Callithrix jacchus: one gene and its partners. The protein of the gene in region 1 interacts with the protein of each later gene in a pairwise test. Links are inferred from orthologs where the notes say so. Each region holds a gene or a part of one and is shown on either strand. Other genes may lie near its edges.

What was found.
Region 2: the proteins of HTT (region 1) and TRIP10 interact in binary tests that used the Homo sapiens proteins (3 or more experiments, as listed by UniProt). The link is inferred for Callithrix jacchus from reciprocal best matches to the Homo sapiens genes HTT and TRIP10.
Region 3: the proteins of HTT (region 1) and EZR interact in binary tests that used the Homo sapiens proteins (3 or more experiments, as listed by UniProt). The link is inferred for Callithrix jacchus from reciprocal best matches to the Homo sapiens genes HTT and EZR.
Region 4: the proteins of HTT (region 1) and JAKMIP1 interact in binary tests that used the Homo sapiens proteins (3 or more experiments, as listed by UniProt). The link is inferred for Callithrix jacchus from reciprocal best matches to the Homo sapiens genes HTT and JAKMIP1.
Region 5: the proteins of HTT (region 1) and H2AP interact in binary tests that used the Homo sapiens proteins (3 or more experiments, as listed by UniProt). The link is inferred for Callithrix jacchus from reciprocal best matches to the Homo sapiens genes HTT and H2AP.
Region 6: the proteins of HTT (region 1) and ERCC6L interact in binary tests that used the Homo sapiens proteins (3 or more experiments, as listed by UniProt). The link is inferred for Callithrix jacchus from reciprocal best matches to the Homo sapiens genes HTT and ERCC6L.
Region 7: the proteins of HTT (region 1) and AP2A2 interact in a two-hybrid assay, tested with the Homo sapiens proteins (2 studies listed by BioGRID and IntAct). The link is inferred for Callithrix jacchus from reciprocal best matches to the Homo sapiens genes HTT and AP2A2.

The regions. Positions count from the first base shown.
Region 1 is NC_133504.1:190,015,536-190,019,035, reverse strand, and holds part of HTT (huntingtin), read left to right. Parts: intron 1-63; coding exon 64-222; intron 223-314; coding exon 315-412; intron 413-1,897; coding exon 1,898-2,037; intron 2,038-3,500.
Region 2 is NC_133523.1:6,342,660-6,345,056, reverse strand, and holds the end of TRIP10 (cdc42-interacting protein 4), read right to left. Parts: intron 2,025-2,397; coding exon 1,892-2,024; intron 1,660-1,891; coding exon 1,520-1,659; intron 1,440-1,519; coding exon 1,318-1,439; intron 949-1,317; coding exon 800-948; 3' UTR 501-799; downstream 1-500. UniProt on the Homo sapiens protein: Required for translocation of GLUT4 to the plasma membrane in response to insulin signaling. Required to coordinate membrane tubulation with reorganization of the actin cytoskeleton during endocytosis.
Region 3 is NC_133505.1:165,579,687-165,582,719, reverse strand, and holds part of EZR (ezrin), read left to right. Parts: intron 1-199; coding exon 200-363; intron 364-725; coding exon 726-856; intron 857-1,623; coding exon 1,624-1,784; intron 1,785-2,115; coding exon 2,116-2,208; intron 2,209-3,033. UniProt on the Homo sapiens protein: Probably involved in connections of major cytoskeletal structures to the plasma membrane. In epithelial cells, required for the formation of microvilli and membrane ruffles on the apical pole. Along with PLEKHG6, required for normal macropinocytosis.
Region 4 is NC_133504.1:186,296,324-186,299,823, reverse strand, and holds part of JAKMIP1 (janus kinase and microtubule-interacting protein 1), read left to right. Parts: intron 1-324; coding exon 325-471; intron 472-1,731; coding exon 1,732-1,872; intron 1,873-3,008; coding exon 3,009-3,068; intron 3,069-3,500. UniProt on the Homo sapiens protein: Associates with microtubules and may play a role in the microtubule-dependent transport of the GABA-B receptor. May play a role in JAK1 signaling and regulate microtubule cytoskeleton rearrangements.
Region 5 is NC_133524.1:38,777,988-38,780,436, forward strand, and holds H2AP (huntingtin-interacting protein M), read left to right. Parts: upstream 1-1,413; 5' UTR 1,414-1,474; coding exon 1,475-1,828; 3' UTR 1,829-1,949; downstream 1,950-2,449.
Region 6 is NC_133524.1:69,419,477-69,422,976, reverse strand, and holds part of ERCC6L (DNA excision repair protein ERCC-6-like), read left to right. Parts: intron 1-1,260; coding exon 1,261-3,500. UniProt on the Homo sapiens protein: DNA helicase that acts as a tension sensor that associates with catenated DNA which is stretched under tension until it is resolved during anaphase. Functions as ATP-dependent DNA translocase. Can promote Holliday junction branch migration (in vitro).
Region 7 is NC_133511.1:130,985,043-130,989,230, reverse strand, and holds the start of AP2A2 (AP-2 complex subunit alpha-2), read left to right. Parts: upstream 1-1,388; 5' UTR 1,389-1,540; coding exon 1,541-1,607; intron 1,608-4,188. UniProt on the Homo sapiens protein: Component of the adaptor protein complex 2 (AP-2). Adaptor protein complexes function in protein transport via transport vesicles in different membrane traffic pathways.

The DNA of each region.
Region 1 (3,500 bases):
GTTTTGAGTTAGAAAGTTGATGGTGGGGAATTGTTCCCTGGGGGGGGCAATCTGTCTCCACAGAGGAACAGTATGTCTCAGACATCTTGAACTACATCGATCACGGAGACCCACAGGTTCGAGGAGCCACTGCCATTCTCTGTGGGACCCTCGTCTGCTCCATCCTCAGCAGATCCCGCTTCCACGTGGGAGAGTGGATGGGCACCATTAGAACCCTGACAGGTAATGGCCGGTTTTTCAGCTGTGTTTTTTCTAAATCTCATGACCAAGTATTAAGTTTCCATGATGACGTTGCTCCTTGTTGTTCTGCTTAGGAAATACATTTTCTTTGGCGGATTGCGTTCCTTTGCTGCGGAAAACATTGAAGGATGAGTCTTCTGTTACTTGCAAGTTGGCCTGTACAGCTGTGAGGGTGAGCATAATCTTCTCTGGAAACCATTTCTTCAATTAGTGGACACTTTATCATCACTAAAATTAAAATTGGAGCCTAATAGGAAATATTTCCATATACTCTGAAGCTGCACACAGTAATACCCACCATGTATCCATCTCTCAGCTTTAGAAGGAAAACATTGCCGATCAAGTTAATGCTCAGTAAACTTGTTTAAGTTTTAATTCTCAGAATATTTGTTTGAAATAGACCTTTTCCTAAAGGATATATTTACAAATAACCTGTCATTAAGTCTAAAGTCTTTTGAATACACTGGGCACGGTGACTTACGCTTGTAATCTGAGCACTTTGGGAGGCCAAGGTGGAAGAATTGCTTGAGCCCAGGAGTTCAAGACTATGGCAATGTAGTTGGACTCTGTCTCTACAGAAAATAAAAAAAACAAACAAACCATAAAACCCAATTAGCTGGGTGTGGTGGTGCATACCTACTCTCAGCTACTTAGGAAGCCTGAGCTAAGTGCTTGAGCCCTGGAGATCAAGGCTGCAGTGAGGCATGATTGCACCTCTGGCCTCTAGCCTGGGCAACAGAGTGAGACTGTCTCGAAAATAATAATAGTAATAACAATCTGTTGGATTTTAAAAAAACACTCTATTAGGTCTGTAGAATGGTAAGAGTTAAAGTGAGCCTTAGGGATTATTTAATCAACCTCTGTTTTTGTAAGAAGTGACACAGCCTCAATTCTTTAAGTGATAGCATGTTGAACCTTTCCATACCGGCTAGCTCGTTAAGTCACAACCGGCCAGTCAGCAAGAATAAAAATCAACCAGTAAAAATTAAAACAAAAAACCTACAGTTGTCAAATTTGTGGGATGCCTCCCCTTTTTAAAATGTCACACCTGACAGTAATTTTTCTCTAGTTTCCAGGTTTTGTTTCAGTCAGTTGTATCTTTCTTGAGTGGAAGGAAATGTGCTAACAGCTCAGTCTTGTGGCTAGTGGGGGGTTTGTGTGTCAGCCATGTGTGTGCTGGTGCCCCTGGGTGCTTGGGGCTGCAGGGGAGGGGTACAGCAGTCGGGACCTGTTCTGTTCTCCTGTGCCTTGGAGTACATAGTGACACAGTGCGGTGGTCCTTGGTGTAGGTCCCTTGTTCCTACCTTGGGTCTGAGATTTATTTAGAAGTAGTGTTAGGGCCGTGTGGCAGGCCCCTCTGTAACACCGATCAATGTTTATGAACTTGCCCTTTGCAAGTTGAAGCCATGATATAGCAGAAATGGAATTAAGAGAGAAACAGTTATGTGAAAGGGACACATTTACTTTTAAGCTTGTATTTACTGAGATAAATTATATACCATAAATGTTCTTGAGAGGTGTGGGAAAAGTACAACATCCTCGTTGCAGTTAAACCCAGAACATTGTGTGTCTAAGAGTGGTGGTTCTCAAACCGTCAAGATGTGGCTACTGAGTGGGGCTGACCTGCTGCCCTCTTGCCTTGGACCTTGTGTTCCAGCATTGTGTCATGAGTCTCTGCAGCAGCAGCTACAGTGAGCTAGGACTGCAGCTGCTCATCGACCTGCTGACACTGAGGAACAGTTCCTACTGGCTGGTGAGGACAGAGCTTCTGGAGACCCTTGCTGAGATCGACTTCAGGTAGATGGTCACGCCCATTAGATGGCATGAACTCAGCTCCATTGAAAGTCCTGGGGTCACCTGACACACGGAATGGTGTTACCAAGTACCCTGTCCATCAGAAACCTAGTGGGTTAGCTGGAGGGTAACGGTTTTCTCCTCCCAGTGGCTTTTTGCTGAACTTTGCCCTGTGCTTGGAGTTTTATTTTAATTAATTAATTTATTTTGAGACATGATCTTGCCCTGTTGCCCAGGCTGGAGTACAGGAGCACAGTCATAGCTCCCTGCACCTTTGAACTCCTGGACTCATATGATCTTCCTGCCTCACCCTCCTGATTAGGTAGGACAATAGGTGTGTGTCTCCACACCGGCTAATATTTATTTTTTGTAGAGATGGGGTCTTGCCATGTTGTCCAGGCTGGTCTCAAACTCCTGGGCTCAATTGACCCTCCAATCTTGGCCTCCCAAAGTGCTGGGATTATAGGCATGAACCACTGTGCCTGGCCTAGAATTTTAAAATATAAGTAGAATAAGAAAAGTAAATAAAATATAAGTAGAAGAGTAGACTTATTTTTTTGATACTCCTAGTCATTTACGTGTTCTGGATGGTGGGAATAAAAGAGCTTAGAATTTTTCATCTTTGTCTTGAACTTTTAAAAACTGTAGCTTATATTCTGCCTGTTGAAAGAGAATATAGTCATCATACTGAACCTAAGTAAGACAGCTGGTTTGTGTTTTGTTACAATTAAAAAATAACTTGAGACCGGGCGTGATGGCTCACGCTTGTAATCCCAGCACTTTGGGAGTCCGAAGCGGGTGGATCATGAGGTCAGAAGTTTAAGACCAGCCTGGTCAACATGGTGAAACCCTATCTCTACTAAAAATACAAAAAATTAGCTGGGCATGGTGGCGCATGCCTGTAATCCCAGCTACTCGGGAGGCGGAGGCAGGAGAATTGCCTGAACCCAGGAGGCGGAGGTTGCGGTGAGCCGAGATCCCGCCATTGCACTCCAGCCTGGGTAATAAGAGTGAAACTCCGTCTCAAAAAAAAAAATACAAAAATTAGCCCGACGTTCTTGGCACCCGCCTGTAATCCCAGTTACTCAGGAGGCTGAGGCAGGAGAATCGCTTGAACCTGGGAGGTGGAGGTTGCAGTGAGCCAAATTCACGCCATTGCACTCCAGCCTGGGTGATAGAGAGAGACTCTGTCTCAAACAAAACAAAACAACCAACCAAACAAGAAAAAAAAACTTGAGCTGTGTTGGAACTTTCATTTTCTAAGAGTAAAGTCTTTGCTGGATAAGGTTTCTTTTAGAAGGGAAATCTCCCTTTATAATTCAGGTTCTTTCCCCAAGCCACCTTTTATAGAGCCCTCGTGGGTTATTTCATTTAATCCTTAGAATGTCTGTAAATCTGGGATTGCTCTCCACTCCACCTACAGATAGGGACGCTGAGCATGGGTGAGTGAGCAAGGCAGCAGGTTA
Region 2 (2,397 bases), on another chromosome or scaffold:
GCAGTGGCTCACGCCCATAATCCCAGCACTTTGGGAGGCCAAGGTGGATGGCTCACTTGAGGTCAGGAGTTCAAGACCAGCCTGGCCAAAATGGGAAAACCCTGCCTCTAGAGAAAATACAAAAACAATTAGCCAGGCGTGATGGTGTGTGCCTGTAATCCCAGCTACCTGGGAGGCTGAGGCAGAACTGCTTGAACCCGGGAGGTAGAGTCTGCAGTGAGCCGAGATCACGCCACTGCACTCCAGCCTGGGCAACTGGGTGAGACTATCTCAAAAAGAAAAAGAAACTTGGTATCCTTCTCTCTACCTGAGTCACAAGCAGGCAGCCAATGACAATGACATAAAGCCAACTTCCCCAAAGGGGCAGGGTTGACCCAAGGCATGCCCAAGAGCACCTGCCCTTTCTTGTTCCCTGTGTGTGTGGCCTGTAAGAAATGTGGCGTTAAGATACTTCCACTCCCAGTATTTAAATCTTCTAATAAGGCACCGACTCCAGGAACTTTATATAATTAATTTTTTTCCCATTTTTGTATAAAACAAAATAGCCGGAGCCGAGCAGCAGGAAGAAAAGATGTCAAACATGAGTATGTACATCAATGGTGGAACAATGGTGGAAGAAGGCACGGCGGGTCCATCTGGAGCAACAGGTGGAGTCAGGTGGGGGGGTTGGAGGGGGCAGCAGGTTACACAGGTTTCAGCCGAAGCCACGGGGTCAGAAATAAAGTGCATAGGTCCTGGGGCACCCCCGTGGCCCAGAAGCAGCAGCCGACAGCCCCCCTCTTCCCGCCTCCAGCAGGGTTCAATTGAGCGTGACTCGGAGGTAGGAGGTAGGAACGTAGCCCTCGCCTCCCTCTTTCCGTCTGACCCGGGTCCAGCCATCCCCTTTGTCTTCTTCCATAAGACTGAGGTCTTCACCCTCAGCCATGGAGATGGTGCCTTCGCTGGACCCTGTCATGGGGGTGGAGATAGGCTTAGATCTACTTTAGGCAAATTTATTTATTTTTTATTTTTGAGATCAAGTCTCACTCTGTCACCCAGGCTGGAGTGCAATGGCGCGATCTCGGCTCCCCGCAACCACCGCCTCCCAGGTTTAAGATTCTCCTGCCTCAGCCTCCCGAGGCATGCGCCACCACGCCTGGCTAATTTCTGTATTTTTAGTAGAGATGGGGTTTCACCATGTTCGCCAGGCTGGTCTGGAACTCTTGACCTCAAGTGATCTGTCTGTCTCAGCCTCCCAAAGTACCCAGCCCTGCTTTAGACGGATTTAAACTGAACCTAGATAGAGACACCCCGCAAGCCCACTCTGGCCGTCCTCACCTTCAAAATGGTAGATGGCCACACAGTGACCTATGGGAGATGTGGCTTCCTCCTCGAAATCTTCATCAAACTCCGTGTAAATGGGGGTTTCCTGGCTCTCTTCTGAGGGAGGCTCTTCAGAGCTGTTTGGGGAGAATTAGGCTGATAAAGATGTGCCCTCCTGGGTCCCTGGGAACACACCCACTCTGGCGTCACCCCTCACCTCTCCTTGGTGTCCTGTGATCCACTGTTGCTGCTGTTGTCTGGTGGGGCGCTAGTGGGGGGGTCAGGAGGCCGGGCATGCCGGCTCAGGCTGTCTCCACGGTTGCTAAGGACTCGACTTTCAGCTTCTGCCAGCCACGCCTGGGAGGAGAGGACCGCCAAGATCGTTTCCAGGACAGAGCTCCCAGGTCAGCCCACTCTGGCCCCGGAGGATCCCTGAGATCACTCAGGCACCGCCAAGGCTGTGATGGAAAACAGCTGGAGAACCCCCTTCCCCGCTCCAAGCACCTCCCCTGTCCCCAACCCCCACCCCACCCTGCAGTGACTCAGCCAGGCCCGCCGGCCCCCACCCCTCCCCAGGGTCTTTTCTGACCTCATACTTCTGCACTTCCAATTTCAGCCGTTCAATGTTGCCCAGGGTTTCGGTGATCTGGGGCTCCAGGCTGGCAGGGTCCCCCATCTGGGGTGTCTTCTCATAGACATCCTTCATTTTCTTCAGGGCTTCCCTACAACAATGGAGACAGGCAGACAGGAAAACGCAATTCCCTGTGAGCTTTTTTGTTGTTGCTGTTGTTTTAAGTCAGGTTCTCACTCTCTTTCCCCAGGCTGGTGTGCAGTGGTGCAACCATAGCTCACTGCAACCTTGACCTCCCAGGCTCAAGTGATCCTCCTGCCTCAGCCTCCTGAGTAGCTGGGACTACAGGCCCACATCATCACACTCGCCTGATTTTTCTCTTTTTTTTTTGAGACGGGGTCTCACTCTGTCACCCAGGCTGGAGTGCAGTGGCATAATCTTGGCTCACTGCAACCTCCGCCTCCTGGATTCAAGAGATCCTCCTGCCTCAACCTCCCCAGTAGCTGGGACTACAGGCGCACACC
Region 3 (3,033 bases), on another chromosome or scaffold:
ATAACCACACACACGCAGCACCTGCACGCCCTCCCCATCCCAGAGAATGCACATTCTGAATACCAAGGCTGCTCTGCTACATCCCTGTTCTACTACATTGGTTCTTTTAGAAAAGTTCTGGACCTTTGTGAAGTATGGTTTGGGAGAAGAAAACCAAACGAAGGAGCTTGAGTCCAGGTTACCCTGTTCTGTTTCGTAGGACTTTGTGTTTTATGCCCCCCGCCTGAGAATTAACAAACGGATCCTGCAGCTCTGCATGGGCAACCATGAGCTGTACATGCGCCGCAGGAAGCCCGACACTATCGAGGTGCAGCAGATGAAGGCCCAGGCCCGGGAGGAGAAGCATCAGAAGCAGCTGGAACGGTGAGCATGGGAGGCCGGAGCAGGGGCCTGTGTTCTCCCTGCTCAGCCTCCGCCAGCCCTACCTGCCGAGGTAGCCGGTGCCTGTCAGGTGACCCCAGAGCTCATCAGGACAGCCTGGTGGAATGGAACCCAGTCGCCACACTGGGTTCTTCCGGGCCTTTGTCTCTGGGCAGTGGCTGTGGTGCTGAGCCTGGTGTCAGCCCTGGAGCAGCTGCTCTATCAGGTGGCTCAGGCTGGCAGCAGGCCAGGGTGGCCCTGAGGATACCAAGTCCATCCTAGAACTGCACACCCCCTGAAGTGTGTTGACCCCTTACTTCCCTGCTAGAGTCTAAATGTCCCTGTGCCTCTTTCCGCCTCACTAGGCAACAGTTGGAAACGGAGAAGAAAAGGAGAGAAACTGTGGAGAGAGAGAAAGAGCAGATGATGCGTGAGAAGGAGGAGCTGATGCTGCGGCTGCAGGACTATGAGGAGAAGACCAAGAAGGCAGAGAGAGGTCAGGAGCCCTGGGGCGGCTGGTGCTCCACACTGGGGCATGCATTTCCACAGAGAGGCAGGGCCCACACCCACCCACCAGGAAGGAACCTCTTCCCAAGAATGAGTCCCACAGTGCAGACTCGCAGCAGAATTGACAACATGGTTATTTGGTTTGGAAAATGATTCTGTTCTTCCTTAACTTTGGTGCTAATTGTTCTAAGACATCGCATTTTAAAATTTCCCTAGACCTTTGAGGTAAGAGCTAAATCACCCAGTTTCCCCAATAAGGACATTAAGGTTTGGTGTGGTACAGTGACTTGCCCACAGTCCCACAGACCATGAGTGACAGGGCTGAGCCAGTCTTCCCTGCACAGCTCCAGTAGACAACCCCAGCAGCTGGGCCGTTACACAGGGCGTCACAGATGCTGTGTTCATTGGCAGCCCTTAGCACACACGGGGAGAGCATTTCTATGTTCTGAGTGTGGGGTGGTACCTGCACACCGGGTAGCTGGCCTGGGGAGAGGAGCACCAGGAGGGGTGAGTCAGGCATGCCAGGGAGTGGGCGCCTGGCTGGGGTTGGACAGGGGTTTCTAGCCATACTGAGGAAGTTGTCATGGAAACGACAGGAATGAGCTGTGAAGTGCTTTCTTCGGGGTCACTGGAAGACATCCCATCGACTTGTGACTTGGTCCAAGGCTCTCTGGCTTTTTGGGTGGAAATAGAAGATGGGGGTTCCAAGGTCCCTGGGCTGAGGGCTTGAGTAGTTCTGGCTTTGTGTCTTCTCAGAGCTCTCAGAGCAGATTCAGAGGGCCCTGCAGCTGGAGGAGGAGAGGAAGCGGGCTCAGGAGGAGGCTGAGCGCCTAGAGGCTGACCGCATGGCTGCACTGCGGGCTAAGGAGGAGCTGGAGAGACAGGCGGTGGATCAGATAAAGAGCCAGGAGCAGCTGGTAGGAATCGCCTGAGTTTCAAGATGCTGAATTATAGAGAGGATGCTTCTGAGGATGGAAAATGTGACACCTGCCTTGTAATAATTGTCATGACTGGAAGCTGTTAACTGATCTGGGGGCTGAAGCAGCTGACGGGGAAGGGGCTGGGCTGTTGCCTGGGTCACCCATAGAAGGTGGGTGTGAGCATCCAGGAAGAGACGGCAGGAGTGTATGATAGACCCTGTTGGCCATGGGTAGGAGGGACTCGGGTGTCACAGTGGAGGCTGCTCATTCACAACCAGACTGTCGAAAGGGTTCCAGAACTCACTTGAGCTTGGCGTTCCCTTTCCAGGCTGCAGAGCTTGCGGAGTACACTGCCAAGATCGCCCTCCTGGAAGAGGCGCGGAGGCGCAAGGAGGATGAGGTTGAAGAGTGGCAGCACAGGGTGAGTCTGCCGGGCAACTTCCACATGCCCACGGCACATGTTGCCCACTGGCTGTGGTGTGGCCCTTCTGCAGGTGGGGTGGGGGGTGGTGGTTTTACTCAGCAGCCAGTTCCCACTGGAAGCTTCTGGGATGTCTCATGATCCTCTGCTACCAGCTGTACGGTTGAAGTAGAAATCCCCAAAGAGATGGGTCTGAGCTTATACACGAGTCAGCACAGTTGCTGGATACGTGGAGAGAGGGAGGACTTCTGACTTTCACCCACTTTGCTCCCCTGACCCTGACTGTTAAGTGCCCATCTGCAGCCTGGTCAGGAACTGGTTTTAAATCAAGTTACCTATGTGCTCCTTGCAATGGGGTCAAAGTGCTGGAAACATGATCTCCTGCTGATGGTATACACAGTGGGCACCATGGTAAGATCCAGGTCCTTGGAAGTCTCCAGGCTGGAGCAAGAGCCAGGCTCTGCTGCTCATCAGCTTGTGTGACTGGGGGCTAGCAGCATCACCTCTCTGAGCCTCATTGTAGGATGGGAGCAATACCCAACACATAAGGTTGCTCTGCAGGTGCAAGGTCACATGCCCAGGACCTAGCACAGACCCTCTGGCCCATCCTTCCCTCTCTGTGGTGCTGCCTTGTGAGGACTTGTCTCCCTTCTGTCCACGGCTGCTTCTACCTAGCATCTCCTTGCCTCTGTTCAGCCTATTCCTGCTGCCAATCTGTATTGTTCTGTTCTCACCCCACTATCAAGAACTACCTGAGACTCGGTAGTTCATAAAGAAAAGAGGTTTAATTAACTCACAGTCTCATGGCTGGGGAGGCCTCAGGAA
Region 4 (3,500 bases), about 3.7 Mb from region 1:
GTGGTTGTCATAATATTGATAGATAGTTACGTTGTTTCTAATTCTTTTCATGAAAATAACCCTGAGGGGACTATCAGTATGCATTTAATTCATACCACATGCCTAGGAGACAGAAGCTGCCATGATTCTCATTTGATAGGTGAGGAACTGAGGCTGAGAACTTGCCTGTGGTCATGCCACTAGCAAACAAGTGTGTCACCCAGGACGCTGGTCTCGGACGGGGTCCTAACAGGGCTGGGGTTGAGCCTCTGCTCACCTCGGTGCTGTGACCTCAGCCGTCCATCTTCAAGTTGTCTGAGCCTCTGTGTCTGTTTCCGAACACAGCTGAAACGCTCGCGAGAGACTGAGGTTCAGCTGAAGCCTCTGGTGGAGAAGAACAAGAGGATGAACAAGAAGAATGAGGATTTGTTGCAGAGTATACAGAGGATGGAGGAGAAAATTAAGAATCTCACACGGGAAAATGTGGAAATGGTGAGCCATGGGCCCCGTGGGTCAGCCCTGGCACTCCCATCTCTATCTGGGATTCTCAAGCCCCGAACCTTCCGGTCCACATGTTCTGGGGCCCACCTGCCACCCACCTCCCCAAGAAGCACCAGAAGCAGCGTCGGTCAAACGTCTCTTCCTTCTCTCCATCTGTCTTGCATTCACTGTGCTGTGGGTGTTTGTGCCAGAGAGACAGCTGTGTCCTTAAACACATCCCCCATTCTCTCTGAGCCTGTTTCTTCATACATACAATGGGAATGAAAATATCAACACTGCAGGATCACCAAGAGGAAGAAATGATAGCACGCAAAGACCTCAGAGGACACCCAGTATGTGAAAGCCGTTACTATGATCGCTGGTGATGCTCTGCAGAGGGCGTTTTTCCTCCAGCTAGGATGCCTGGTGTTTGTGGTCAGTGCGGGTGTCTTGTAGTTGACAGTTTACAGAACGCTTTCAGGTTCATTGTTCAGAGTAACATCAACCCCTGTTTCACAGACAGTGGAGGTGCTGAGAGCATGCACGCTCCACTGTCTGTACCACAGCAGGTGCAGGTGTGTGTGTGTGTGTGTGTGTGTGTAGTTTGCTGTTTTGTGAAGTCCTCGCCTTCCCCTGCCTTCCCCTCCCAGCTTTCTAGACTCATTTCAGATGTCATCTTCTGTGCCCAGGCCCAGTCCATCCCTTCCTGTCAGCAGCATGCACAGTCAGCCCAACCTTGGGCTTGGTTTTGATCTGCCTTGTCCCCTCTTCCAGCACAGGACAAGGGGGCCACATATTAGTCCATTTTCACACTGCTGATAAACACATACCTGAGACTGGGTAATTTATAATGATAAAAACGTTTAATGGACTCACAGTTCCACCTGACTGGGGAGGCCTCACAATCATGGCAGAAGGCTAAAGGCACATCTTATGTGGTGGCAGACAAGAGAGATTGAGAGCTAAGTAAAAGGGGAAAGCCCTTACAAAAACATCAGAGACTTATTCACAACCATCAGAACAGTATGGGGGAACCACCACACGATTCAGTTATCTCACACTGGGCCCCTCCCATAACACATGGGAATTATGGGAGCTACAATTCCAGATGAGATTTGGGTGGGGACACAGCCAAACCATATCAGGCCATCATCTCTTTCATCCTCCCATCCATCCATCTGTCCCTGCACCCCTAAGCCCCACTCCAGTGCTGTCCCTAACAAACATTGTTGGTGGGTAATGCTGCAGTGGTCTCTCTCCCTGTGGCTGCAGAAAGAAAAGCTGTCGGCACAGGCGTCTCTGAAGCGGCACACCTCCCTGAACGACCTCAGCCTGACCAGGGATGAGCAGGAGATCGAGTTCCTGAGGCTGCAGGTGCTGGAGCAGCAGCACGTCATTGACGACCTCTCACTGGTACATCTAGCATGGCTGCTGTGGCTGCCCCTGGTGCGGGTGGCACGGGGTGACATGGGTGTCAGGAACGGGTGTCGGGGCTCAGGGTGGTGCTGCTGAGCTGGGTCAGGGTCAGGCAGTGCTGACTTTGGGAAGCTCACCCCGGTGTGCTCATGCCTGCTTCATTCTGCCATCAAGCAGCCTTGGCTTAAACGAGATCACTGGTACCTGGGGACGGTTTCCATGGCTACCCTCTTCTCAAATCTTCTCCCTGTTTGCTGTGGTTAAGAAGCAGCATCAGTTTTAAGGATGTCTTTTGCCTGTTAGAGACTGGGCATGATCTGTTCCAGAGAAGGCTTTTTGTTTGTTTGTTTGATTGGTTTTTAGTTAGCAGTTGCAGACTGTGAGTTTGAGCCCACAAATTTGAACTGTATAATCAGAACAGCACTCAGCTAAATCTGTCTGTGTGCTTTTTGGACATGTATATGGGCCATGCATCTATCGAAGCGGGGTTAGTATGTTAAGCAAGTGGGGAATTACATCCAGAGAATTCTGCAGCTCTCTGTGAAAGGAGCTTAGGTAACAGGCAGGGAACACCTGCAGGGAGCTTTAGCCAGGTCTTAGAAGTGGAACGTGTTCTGCTGTCACCCGAGAGGGTGTGTGATGGTTCCATGCACTGGTCTTCAAAGAATAGGAAAGCTAGTGATCAAAATTCTAGAAAAGGCTTTGATTATAATTGTCATGTTCATTTTGCCTGCCGCCATCTCTCTCTACCACTTTAACTGCTCTCTTTCTTCCTTTCATCTGTCCATCCATCCATCTACTCACCCATGCTTTCATGCTTCCATCTACTTATCCATCCATCCATCCATCCATCCATCCATCCATCCATCCATCCATCTTTGCTTCATCACATAAAAGACTCAATGCAGCTTAGGATGAAAAATATATTTCAATGAAATAAAAAGTCAAAAGGTGGATAATAAACCCTCCCTGTAGCTCTCAGTTCAGAGAAGCAGCCATCACTTGGGCCCTTAGAACTTGAACTAGCCATACCTGGTGTGGATGGGCAGGCACAGCTCCCTTTGAGAGCCAGTGGCTTTGTTTCATGAGATGTGAGGCCGGCTGGAAATGCCAACTCTTGTGCTTCCTTCTAGGAGAGAGAACGGCTGTTGCGCTCCAAAAGGCATCGAGGGAAAAGTCTGAAACCGCCCAAGGTGAGCCTGCGATGATACACCTGCCCTGCCTTGCCGCTGTGTCACAGATCTGCAGGGCAGATGGGTCATGGAAGCGGGGAGGTTTCACAGAGGGATCCTGAAGCAGAGACACACACGTCTCTGCATGCCTGATGATGAAAAGCCTGTCATCACCGCCTCTCAAAGCAACATAAATATGGCCCTGCGATGCGACCCAGTTACTGTAATTTATTCATGGAAAACTTCCTGATGAATTCTCTACTTCGGCCTCAGGGTATATTCCCCAAAATTAAAAACATAAATACTTAAAGCTTTTGAAGGATTTAAGGGACTTTCAGGATTGGTTTATATCAGAACACATCCCGTTCTGAAACAAATCAGGAGCTTTGTGCTGTTTTGGAATCACTCAGAACTTCGGTCTTTCTGGAAAATGGAGGTCTGCTCTTTCCTGGT
Region 5 (2,449 bases), on another chromosome or scaffold:
GATTGCAAAAGACACCAAAATTAGTGAATTCACTGCCATGAAATCATCCTACAGAAATAAAATCAAAGGCATGGCTAGCCATTCTTTTGTTAGTGCCTTTAAGGGATGAAAAGACCAAAGTATTCAATCACACAGATGATGTTTTGAAGAGATATGGGGTGTGCTTCTCAAATATGCAAGGAATAGAGACGGAATTTTCTGAGAGATCTGTGAAGAAGACTCTGTCTAATGGCATGAATCCTCATGACATACATAAAACACATGTAAGTTTTTGAGAATGTTATATCAGCAGAAACAATGCCAGCTTAGACTGAAAGAAAGAAATAGAGCAAGAAATGAAAGAAGGCTATAGGACTCCCAAAATTTGACAGGAGAAAGCAGGCTGATAAAACTACTCGGCTGTAAACACATGCTACCATTCAAAATAAAGGAAAAATGACTGAGGGCAGAACCAAGAGACCAGAGGGAAGATTTATTCCCCCAGGTGAAGTTACAGGATCAGAGTGATCAGAGGGAGGGGTCTCAAGCTGTAGACTATTCCCAGGCCTTGAAACCTAATGGTTAGATTTTGAAATTGTTTGGATTTGAGACTATTTTCTTTCCACTATTTCCCTTGTGAAATGGCAAAGTTATTGGCTGTAAATGAACAAAACTCAAAGGGAAAACACAGAATTAGCAGAGAGTAAAATTAAATAATAGAAAAGAAACAACTCTTAGTGCTTTGGCTTCACCTAGGAGAGACAAGAAATACACATCTGGGCTTAAACTGAGCACAAGATGCACTTCTCCATCAACTATGTTTACCTGGCACTGACAGGTATTGAGCATCTTATTATTAATTGCAAAATGATTAAAAAATATTTTTCAAATAGAGTAAAATCATGACACTCATACAGATATGAAATGAACATATACTAAAAGAAAAGGTTATTATAACAGGTTCAAAAGGGAAACCAAAGAATTGATATGGGAATATTCATCAGGAATATTAAATGATTGTGTGTAAATGGAGGTAAAATTGGTTTCATTAGGTGAAGGACAACTGAACCTCTACTGAAGAATATATCATCCATGTATCTGTGGCCTACAAGTAACAAAAACCTATGCAAGATTTCAGAGATAATGTAAGGCTAGAATCAGATAATTTGCAATGATGTCCTAAAGATAGAGCAAAGTTTTCCACTGAAACACACATTTATTTTTACAATGTCAAAATCAGATAAAAAGTTATAGTTCTCTCAAAATCAGGATTCAGTCATTAGGGTGACTAGGTCAGTGTCACAGACATTTCTAGGCTGAGGTCTGCTCAGGGAAATTCCAAAGTCTAGGATGTCACAAAGGCAGCTAGCTCCCTGACCAATCAGGGCCTGGAGCAGAGAGATACAATGGGCAGGACTAAGTGCCAGTGTCCTTGGAGACCTGCTCAAGCAGGAGAATCAAGCATAGCTCAGCAGAGCCAGACCAAGCAAACATAATGTCAGAAACAGAAAACTGTAAGAACTCCCCTACAAATAACAATCAGAATCAAGAACCTTCAAGAAATGAGCCACAGGTCCCTAGGACCTTCGTTGACCGCCTTCTTCAGGATGAACGAGATGCCCAAAGCCAGACTTCCTCCATGATAAATAGCCTCCTTACCTTGCTCGATTGCCTTGGTGACTTCATCATGGAGCAGGTAGGCCTGGAGGCCAGCCACAATGACAGTATGAACAACACTTCACAAGATGCGGAGAGAGAAGTGGACAACAACCGTGAGCCCCACTGCCTCGAGAGCGATATAACCTGCTTTCTGTTGGATGGGATGCCCAAATCCGAGAAGAATGGCTGAAGACCGAGTTCCAAAGCCTGGAAGGGATCCTCTCAGGCTTAACCAGGGCAAAAACATATCATAGCTGAGGAATCCCTGCTGTTGTCATCAACAAGTGCTATTAAAGGATGTAAATCCGTGAGTATGTTTCTGACTCCACTTAGTTTCCGTCACTTTGGGTTGGAGGTGTTTGTGAGACATCTAGGAGAAGCTATTCCTAGAGAGCTGAAGGGGTGTAGGGGTGGCCAGTGTGGGGAGTTTTGAATTAATGATTTTAGAGGGGGCAGTCTCCAATAGTGACTATGAGGTCACTGGCCTTTTGGGGAGGAACTGGCTGGGGTAGACACAGAGACTTCCTCATTGCCTTGGAACAGGAAGGCCTTGTGAGGCCAGGGGGTTGGCTGGGGACCTCTGAGGCTTGTTGAATTCCCAGCCTGATGCTGGGGCCTGGGGTGGAGCTGCAATCTCTGACTGAGGTGCTGGAGGCTTCATTCAGGATAGCAAAGGTCTGAAGTCAGATGGCGGCGGTCACAGAGGTGGATGGAGAGGGGGCACACTGGCTGGCATGAACTTAATGGGACAGGGGCTTTACATAGACATTGAGGAGTGAAGGAAAAACCATCACGAAAAATGCATAAAAGA
Region 6 (3,500 bases), on another chromosome or scaffold:
CATTTTGAGTTAATTTTTGTATATGGTGTAAGTAGGGGTCCAATTTCATTCTTTTGCACATAGATATTCAGTTGAAAAGACTTCTTTCTCTAGTGAATTGTTTTAGCATCCTTACTGAAATTAATTGACCATACACCACTGAAGAATTGTAAGCAGAGGAGTGACATGATTTATTTTACGCTTTAAGACAGTATTGCTGGTTGCTATATAGAGAGTGTATTGGAGAGGGCAAGAGTTTATGTAGGGAGACCAGTGAGTAGGAAACTGCAGTTATCCAGGCCAGAGATGATGGTGACTTGGGCCACAGTAGTGGTAGTAGAGATGGAAAGAAGGTTGTTATAACTTGGGAAGTAAAGTTAGTAGGACTTGGGACTGCCTGGCCTGAGGGTGGGGCATAAAAAAAACAGAAAGGACAAGGATGACTCATATTTAGGTTGGGGTCAAGGATTCTCTTCAGATTTGAAGTTTGTGTGGCTAAGTAGAGGGTAGTGTTATTTACTCCCACACAAATGGAGAAGCGTGTTTTTAGAGGGGAAATAATGAGTTTAGTTTGGGATGAATTGAATTTGACTTCAAGGGGAGATGTCCAGAAGGCAGTTGAATGGCTCTACAGTAGAGCTTGAGGGACAGCTCTGGGTTGGAGAGAGTGATTTGGGAATCATGAGCACATAAGTGGGAGTGGAAGCTCTGGGAAAACTTGAGGAGAGACTAAAAAGAGTGAGAAGAGGTCCTATGACTGAGTCCTCTGGTAGAAGGAACACAGAAGAAATGGTCAAGTGAAGAGGAGGAAAACCAGAAGGAATCTGTAGGAATCTGGTGAAAGGAGGGAATTTTAAGAGTGGAAAGTAGTGATCAGTAGTGTCAAATGCATCACAGTAGTCCAGTAAAATAAGGCCAGAGAAGTTCCCCATGTTTCCATGTCCCTACACATAGAGGATTGTTTGTTTTACAAAAAAATCACTTCTTACTTCTTACGGGTGCCAACTTTAACAAAGTACTGTGGAACCAATAACCTTTGCACATTAATTTTCCACAAATAGTGTCTGAAGGTGTTGCTGGCAGTATCTGGTGGATATTTGTGTCTCAAGTGACACCAGCTTTCACTGCATCTTCTGTGCTAATCTTTCCCATCCTGAATTGAGGATATTAAAAGTCCAGCTGCAGTTTGGATTCCAAAATGAACTCTAAAGCATTCTTCGACTGAATGTTCAATGTTTCCTTTCTTTTCTTTTTTATTTTATTTTATTATTTACTTTATAGATACGTGAAAGAGGCCAAAGAAGCAGCTAAGAATGGAGATCTGGAAGAAGCATTTAAACTTTTCAATTTGGCAAAGGACATTTTCCCCAATGAAAAGGTGCTGAGCAGAATCCAAAAAATACAGGAAGTCTTGGAGTTGGCAGAACAGGGAGATGATGAATTTACAGATGTGCGCAACTCTGGCCTGCTGCTTTATCGAGAACTGCACGACCAACTCTTTGAGCACCAGAAGGAAGGCGTAGCTTTCCTCTATAGCCTGTATAGGGATGGAAGAAAAGGTGGTATTTTGGCTGATGATATGGGATTAGGGAAGACTGTTCAAATAATTGCTTTCCTTTCTGGTATGTTTGATGCTTCACTTGTGAATCATGTGCTGCTGATCATGCCAACCAATCTTATGAACACATGGTTAAAAGAATTTGTTAAGTGGACTCCAGGAATGAGAGTCAAAACCTTTCATGGTCCTAGCAAGGATGAACGAACCAGAAACCTCAATTGGATTCAGCAAAGGAATGGTGTCATTATCACTACATACCAAATGTTAATCAATAACTGGCAACAACTTTCAAGCTTTAGGGGCCAAGAGTTTCTGTGGGACTATGTCATCCTTGATGAAGCACATAAAATAAAAACCTCATCTACTAAGTCAGCAATATGTGCTCGTGCTGTTCCTGCAAGTAATCGCCTCCTCCTCACAGGAACCCCAATCCAGAATAACTTACGAGAACTATGGTCCCTATTTGATTTTGCTTGTCAAGGATCCCTGCTGGGAACATTAAAAACTTTTAGAATGGAGTATGAAAATCCTATTACTAGAGCAAGAGAGAAGGATGCTACCCCAGGGGAAAAAGCCTTGGGATTTAAAATATCTGAAAACTTAATGGCAATCATAAAACCCTATTTTCTCAGGAGGACTAAAGAAGAAGTACAGAAGAAAACAAGCAACCCAGACGTCAAACTTAATGAAAAGAATCCAGATGTTGATGCCATTTGTGAAATGCCTTCCCTTTCCAGGAAAAATGATTTAATTATTTGGATACGACTTGTGCCTTTACAAGAAGAAATATACAGGAAATTTGTGTCTTTAGATCATATCAAGGAATTGCTAATGGAGACGCGCTCACCTTTGGCTGAGCTAGGTATCTTAAAGAAGCTGTGTGATCATCCTAGGCTGCTGTCTGCACGGGCTTGTGGTTTGCTAAATCTCGGGACTGTCACATTCTCTGCTCAAGATGGAAATGAAGGGGAAGATTCCCCAGACATGGACCATATTGATCAAATAACTGATGACACATTGATGGAAGAATCTGGAAAAATGATATTCCTAATGGGCCTACTTAAGAGGCTGCGAGATGAGGGACATCAAACTCTGGTGTTTTCTCAGTCAAGGCAAATTCTAAACATCATTGAACGCCTCTTAAAGAATAGGCACTTTAAGATATTGCGAATCGATGGGACAATTACTCATCTTTTGGAAAGAGAAAAAAGAATTAACTTGTTCCAGCAAAATAAAGATTACTCTGTTTTTCTGCTTACCACTCAAGTAGGTGGTGTCGGTTTAACATTAACTGCAGCAACTAGAGTGGTCATTTTTGACCCTAGCTGGAATCCTGCAACCGATGCTCAAGCTGTGGATAGAGTTTACAGAATTGGACAAAAAGAAAATGTTGTGGTTTATAGGCTAATCACTTGTGGGACTGTAGAGGAAAAAATATACAGAAGACAGGTTTTCAAGGACTCATTAATAAGACAAACTACTGGTGAAAAAAAGAACCCCTTCCGATATTTTAGTAAACAAGAATTAAGAGAACTCTTTACAATCGAGGATCTTCAGAACTCTGTAACCCAGCTGCAGCTTCAGTCTTTGCATGCTGCTCAGAGAAAATCTGATACAAAACTAGATGAACATATTGCCTACCTGCAGTCTTTGGGGATAGCTGGAATCTCTGACCATGATTTGATGTACACATGTGATCTATCTATTAAAGAAGAGCTTGATGTGGTAGAAGAATCTCACTATATTCAACAAAGGGTTCAGAAAGCTCAATTCCTTGTTGAATTTGAGTCTCAAAATAAAGAGTTCCTCATGGAACAACAAAGAAATAGAAATGAGGGGGCCTGGCTAAGAGAACCTGTATTTCCTTCTTCAACAAAGACGTGCCCTAACTTGAATAAACCACAGCCTCAGCCTTCACCTCTTATAAGTACTCATGATACTCAGGAAGAAGATATCAGTTCCA
Region 7 (4,188 bases), on another chromosome or scaffold:
TCCTGGTTTTTCCCAGGAGTTCTGGAGGCCCAGGGCCTGGGTGTGGTTCCCGGTTCATTGGGGAGGGGCCTGGGTGCTGCCCCCTCCTCCTGGCAGGGCTTCACTGGGCTAAACTCTCATCTGGGGTTGCGGAAGTGAGCCAGGGTGGGGACAAAGTCGTGGCTGGTGGGTCTGGGCCAGTTCCAGGTACAGGGCCCAGATCCTCCCACTCCAGGAGGAGGGAGCTCCCTCTTCAAAGCCATCTGGCTCTGGGAAGGGCCATCTGCTTCCAGGCTCCCTGGAGTCTCTTCCTGGCCTAAGACAGAGCCTGCAGCCTGGCCCAGAAGGTCCTCCCTCCCGCTGGGTCCGCAGGGGCCGGCCTAGGCCTCCAGCTTGCTGCTGTGCAGAGGGCCAGAGAGCAGAGGGGTCTCTGAAACAGTGGCAGAGAGTCCTCGCACTGAGGGACTGGATTCTGCACTGGGCTGCAGCCCCCAGCCACCGTCACGGGGTGGGGTGGGCGGTCGTTTCTCTGCAGGTCCGGGTGATGTGGAGGGGCGCCTGGGCTGCCACGCACAAATGGTGGGCTGGGACGCAACCTGGGCTGGGACGCAACCTGGGCTGGGACGCAACCTGGGCTGGGATGCAACCTGGGCTGGGACGCAACCTGGGCTGGGATGCAACCTGGGCTGGGACGCAACCTGGGCTGGGACGCAACCTGGGCTGGGACGCAAACGGTGCCCGCTTTGGCCCTGGACGCTCGGGTGGGCGGGAGGGGCAGGCCAGCCCTATGGTCTCAGGATACGGGGCTGGGGAGGGTCTCCTGGCCAAAGGCTGTCCCGCGGCGGTGACCCCTTCGCCCGGGCCCCGCATCCTTCGGCGCCGCCCTCCCGGTCCTGGCTCACCCGGGACAAACAAGGCCCTGGCCGCGGAGCCGCCCTGCCGCACAGCGCTCACGGGTCCTTTAGTCAATGTAGGAAAACGGAGACCTGCTGGGCGCGATCGAGGCGGGCCGATGCCCAGGGCGAAGCCGCACGTGTGCGCCTGCGTGGCTGCCCCTTTTGCAGTGACCACCAAGAGTGTCCCACGAACGGGCTCGTTGCCTGTAGTACCAGCAACAACAACGGAGGCGGCCGCGCTGCGCACGCGAGTACCCACGTGGACCCACACCCTTCCTGCGGGGGACGCGGGAGGCATCGCCAGCCCGGCGCGGCCCCGGGACGCGAACCCGTGACTCCCGCGTCTCCGCCTGTAGGGGGCGCTCCCGCGCCTACCTCAACCAGCTCGTCCCCGTGCCGCGGACGCGCGCGCGCTGCCTCACGCGACGGACGCCCCGGCTGCCGTCCGTCACCGCTCGCGTGCGTGCGCGTGCATGCGGGTGGGGGCGTCGTGCGTGCGCGCGCCGGCGGCCCAGAAAGCGGCGCTCGGAGCCTGAGGCGGCGGTGGTTAGGCGGCTCCCCGGCGGCTTCTCCGCGGCGGTGACGGCGCCCGCGCTTCCCGCTCCCCGCTCCCCGCGCTCCTCCGCCCGGGCCCGCCAGCCGAGGCCGCTCCGCAGCGCCGGAAGATGCCCGCCGTGTCCAAGGGGGATGGGATGCGGGGCCTGGCGGTCTTCATCTCGGATATCCGCAACTGTGAGTGGCGGGGGCGGCGCGGGGCAGGGGCCGCAGGGGGAGACGGTCTGCAGCGGGGGCCCGAGGCGGGGGTGCAGGCGGGCCCGGGGTCTGGGGGTGCGGGCTGGGATGCGGGGGGCCCGGGGTCTGGGGGTGCGGACTGGGATGCGGGGGGCCTGCGGTCTGGGGGTGCGGGCTGGGATGCGGGGGGCCCGGGGTCTGGGGGTGCGGGCTGGGATGCGGGGGGCCCGGGGTCTGGGGGTGCGGGCTGGGATGCGGGGGGCCTGCGGTCTGGGGGTGCAGGCGGGCCCGGGGTCTGGGGGTGCGGGCTGGGATGCGGGGGGCCCGGGGTCTGGGGGTGCGGGCTGGGATGCGGGGGGCCCGGGGTCTGGGGGTGCGGGCTGGGATGCGGGGGGCCCGGGGTCTGGGGGTGCGGGCTGGGATGCGGGGGGCCCGGGGTCTGGGGGTGCGGGCTGGGATGCGGGGGGCCTGCGGTCTGGGGGTGCGGGCGGCGCTCGGGGTCTGGGGGTACCAGGTCTCGGGGAGCGGGCGGGGTCCTGGGTCTGAGGGTGCGGGGCGGGGCCCTGGGTCTGGGGGTGCGGGCGGCGCTCGGAGTCTTGGGGTGCCGAGTGTGGGGGTGCAGGCCGGGGTGCGGGGCGGGGCCCAGGGTCTGGGGGTTCAGGGCACGGTCCTTCGTCCACATGCGCACTCCCGGTCCTGGGCTGCGCGGTGGCTGCGGCACCACCGAGGGGGTTCCGGGCCCAGACGCCCCTCCCCAGCATGATGTCACCTCGGTCTTTCTGGGAGCGCAGCGTTAACCCAGCCTTTCCCAAAACGGCGTGGCTTTTAGCTTTGGGAGCAGAAATCTGGAAATCGCCGCCTTCCCGGGAAACGGCTTTGTGACCTGGGTTCTGGGGGCTCATCCCCTGGCTGGATCTCACCCGCGGCGATTAAAATGACTCATTCCCGGGGGGAATCCGGACACGGGCCGTCGTCGGGGGTGTGGGTTGGCTGCTGCTGGCTGCTCCAGTCGCGGGCCTCGTTCTCAGCCACATGCGTGTCCCCTCGGGGTGGAACCGAACCGTGAAACAGGCCAGGAAGGCTCACGCCTGTAATCCCAGCACTTTGGGAGGCTGAGGCGGGTGGATCACGAGGTCGAGAGATCGAGACCATCCTGGTCAACATGGTGAAACCCCGTCTCTACTAAAAATACAGAAATTAGCTGGGCATGGTGGTACTAATTACAGGTACTACCTCACCTGTAATCCCAGCTACTCAGGAGGCTGAGGCAGGAGAATTGCTTGAACCCAGGAGGCGGAGGTTGCGGTGAGCCGAGATCGCGCCATTGCACTCCAGCCTGGGTAACAAGAGCGAACTCTGTCTCAAAAAAGAAAAAAAAGAGGACTTGGAAGGGGGTGCAAGGTGCAGGGTGGGCTGCAGGTCCACCGATTAATTTGGCTTCTGTGTGCAGAACCTCCTCTTGGCTTTCGGAGGCTGCCCTTTATATTTAATTTAAGGGAGAAAAAAAGCTAGTTTCCTGTCTGGTGTGTTGATTTTTTTCCTTGTTATCTACCACATAGTTGACTTAATGATTTTCTTTTTTTTTTTGAGACAGGGTCTCGCTCTGGCGCCCAGGCTGGAGTGCAGTAGTGCCATCACCGTGCACTCAACCTCCCCAACTCAAGTGATCCTACCACCTCAGTCTCCCAAGTTGCTGGGACTATAAGCGTGCACCACCACCACGCCTGGCTAATGCTCGTGTTTTTTTGTAGAGATGGGGTCTCACTATGTTGCCCAGCCTGGTCTTGAACTCCTGAGCTCAAGCGATCCACCTGCCTTGGCCTCCCAAAGTGCTGGGGTTACAGGCATGAAACATGGCACCTTCATAATTTTTAATGTATATTTTGAGGAATTTTTGTGACCTTCCCTTTGAAGTCTCATTTCCTTAGAGTAGATGGGGGGTCAGGAGGACAGTCTGGTTGACCACACTCTGTGGAAGGGTAGAAGACCATCTAACCCTTCCCCTACTCTGCAGAAAAAAAAAAAAAAGCGTAGAGCCAGGTGTAGTGGCTCATACCTGAGGTCCTAGCACTTTGGGAGGGTGAGGCAGGCAGATGTTTTGAGCCTAGAAGTTTGACACCAGCCTGGGCAATGTGGTGAGACCCTGTCTCTACCAAAAAAATATGAAAATTAGCTGGGCGTGGTGTTGTGCACCCCTATAGTCCCAGCTACTTGGGAGGCTGAGATAGGAGGATCACTTGAGCCCAGGAGGTCAGGCTGCAGTGAGCTGAGATTGCGCCACTGTACTCCAGCCTGGCTGACAGAGTGAGACCCTGTCTCAAAAAAAAAAAATGCTGGGTGCGGTGGCTCATGCCTATAATCCCAGTACTTTGGGAGGCGAGGCGGGTGGATCACGAGGTCAAGAGATTGAGACCATCCTGGTCAACAAGGTGAAACCTGGTCTGTACTAAATATACAAAAACTAGCTCGGCGTGGTGGTGCGCGCCTGTAGTCCCAGCTACTCAGGAGGCTGAGGCAAGAGAATTGCTTGAACCCAGAAGGTGGAGGTTGCGGTGAGCTGAGATCGTGCCATTGCACTCCA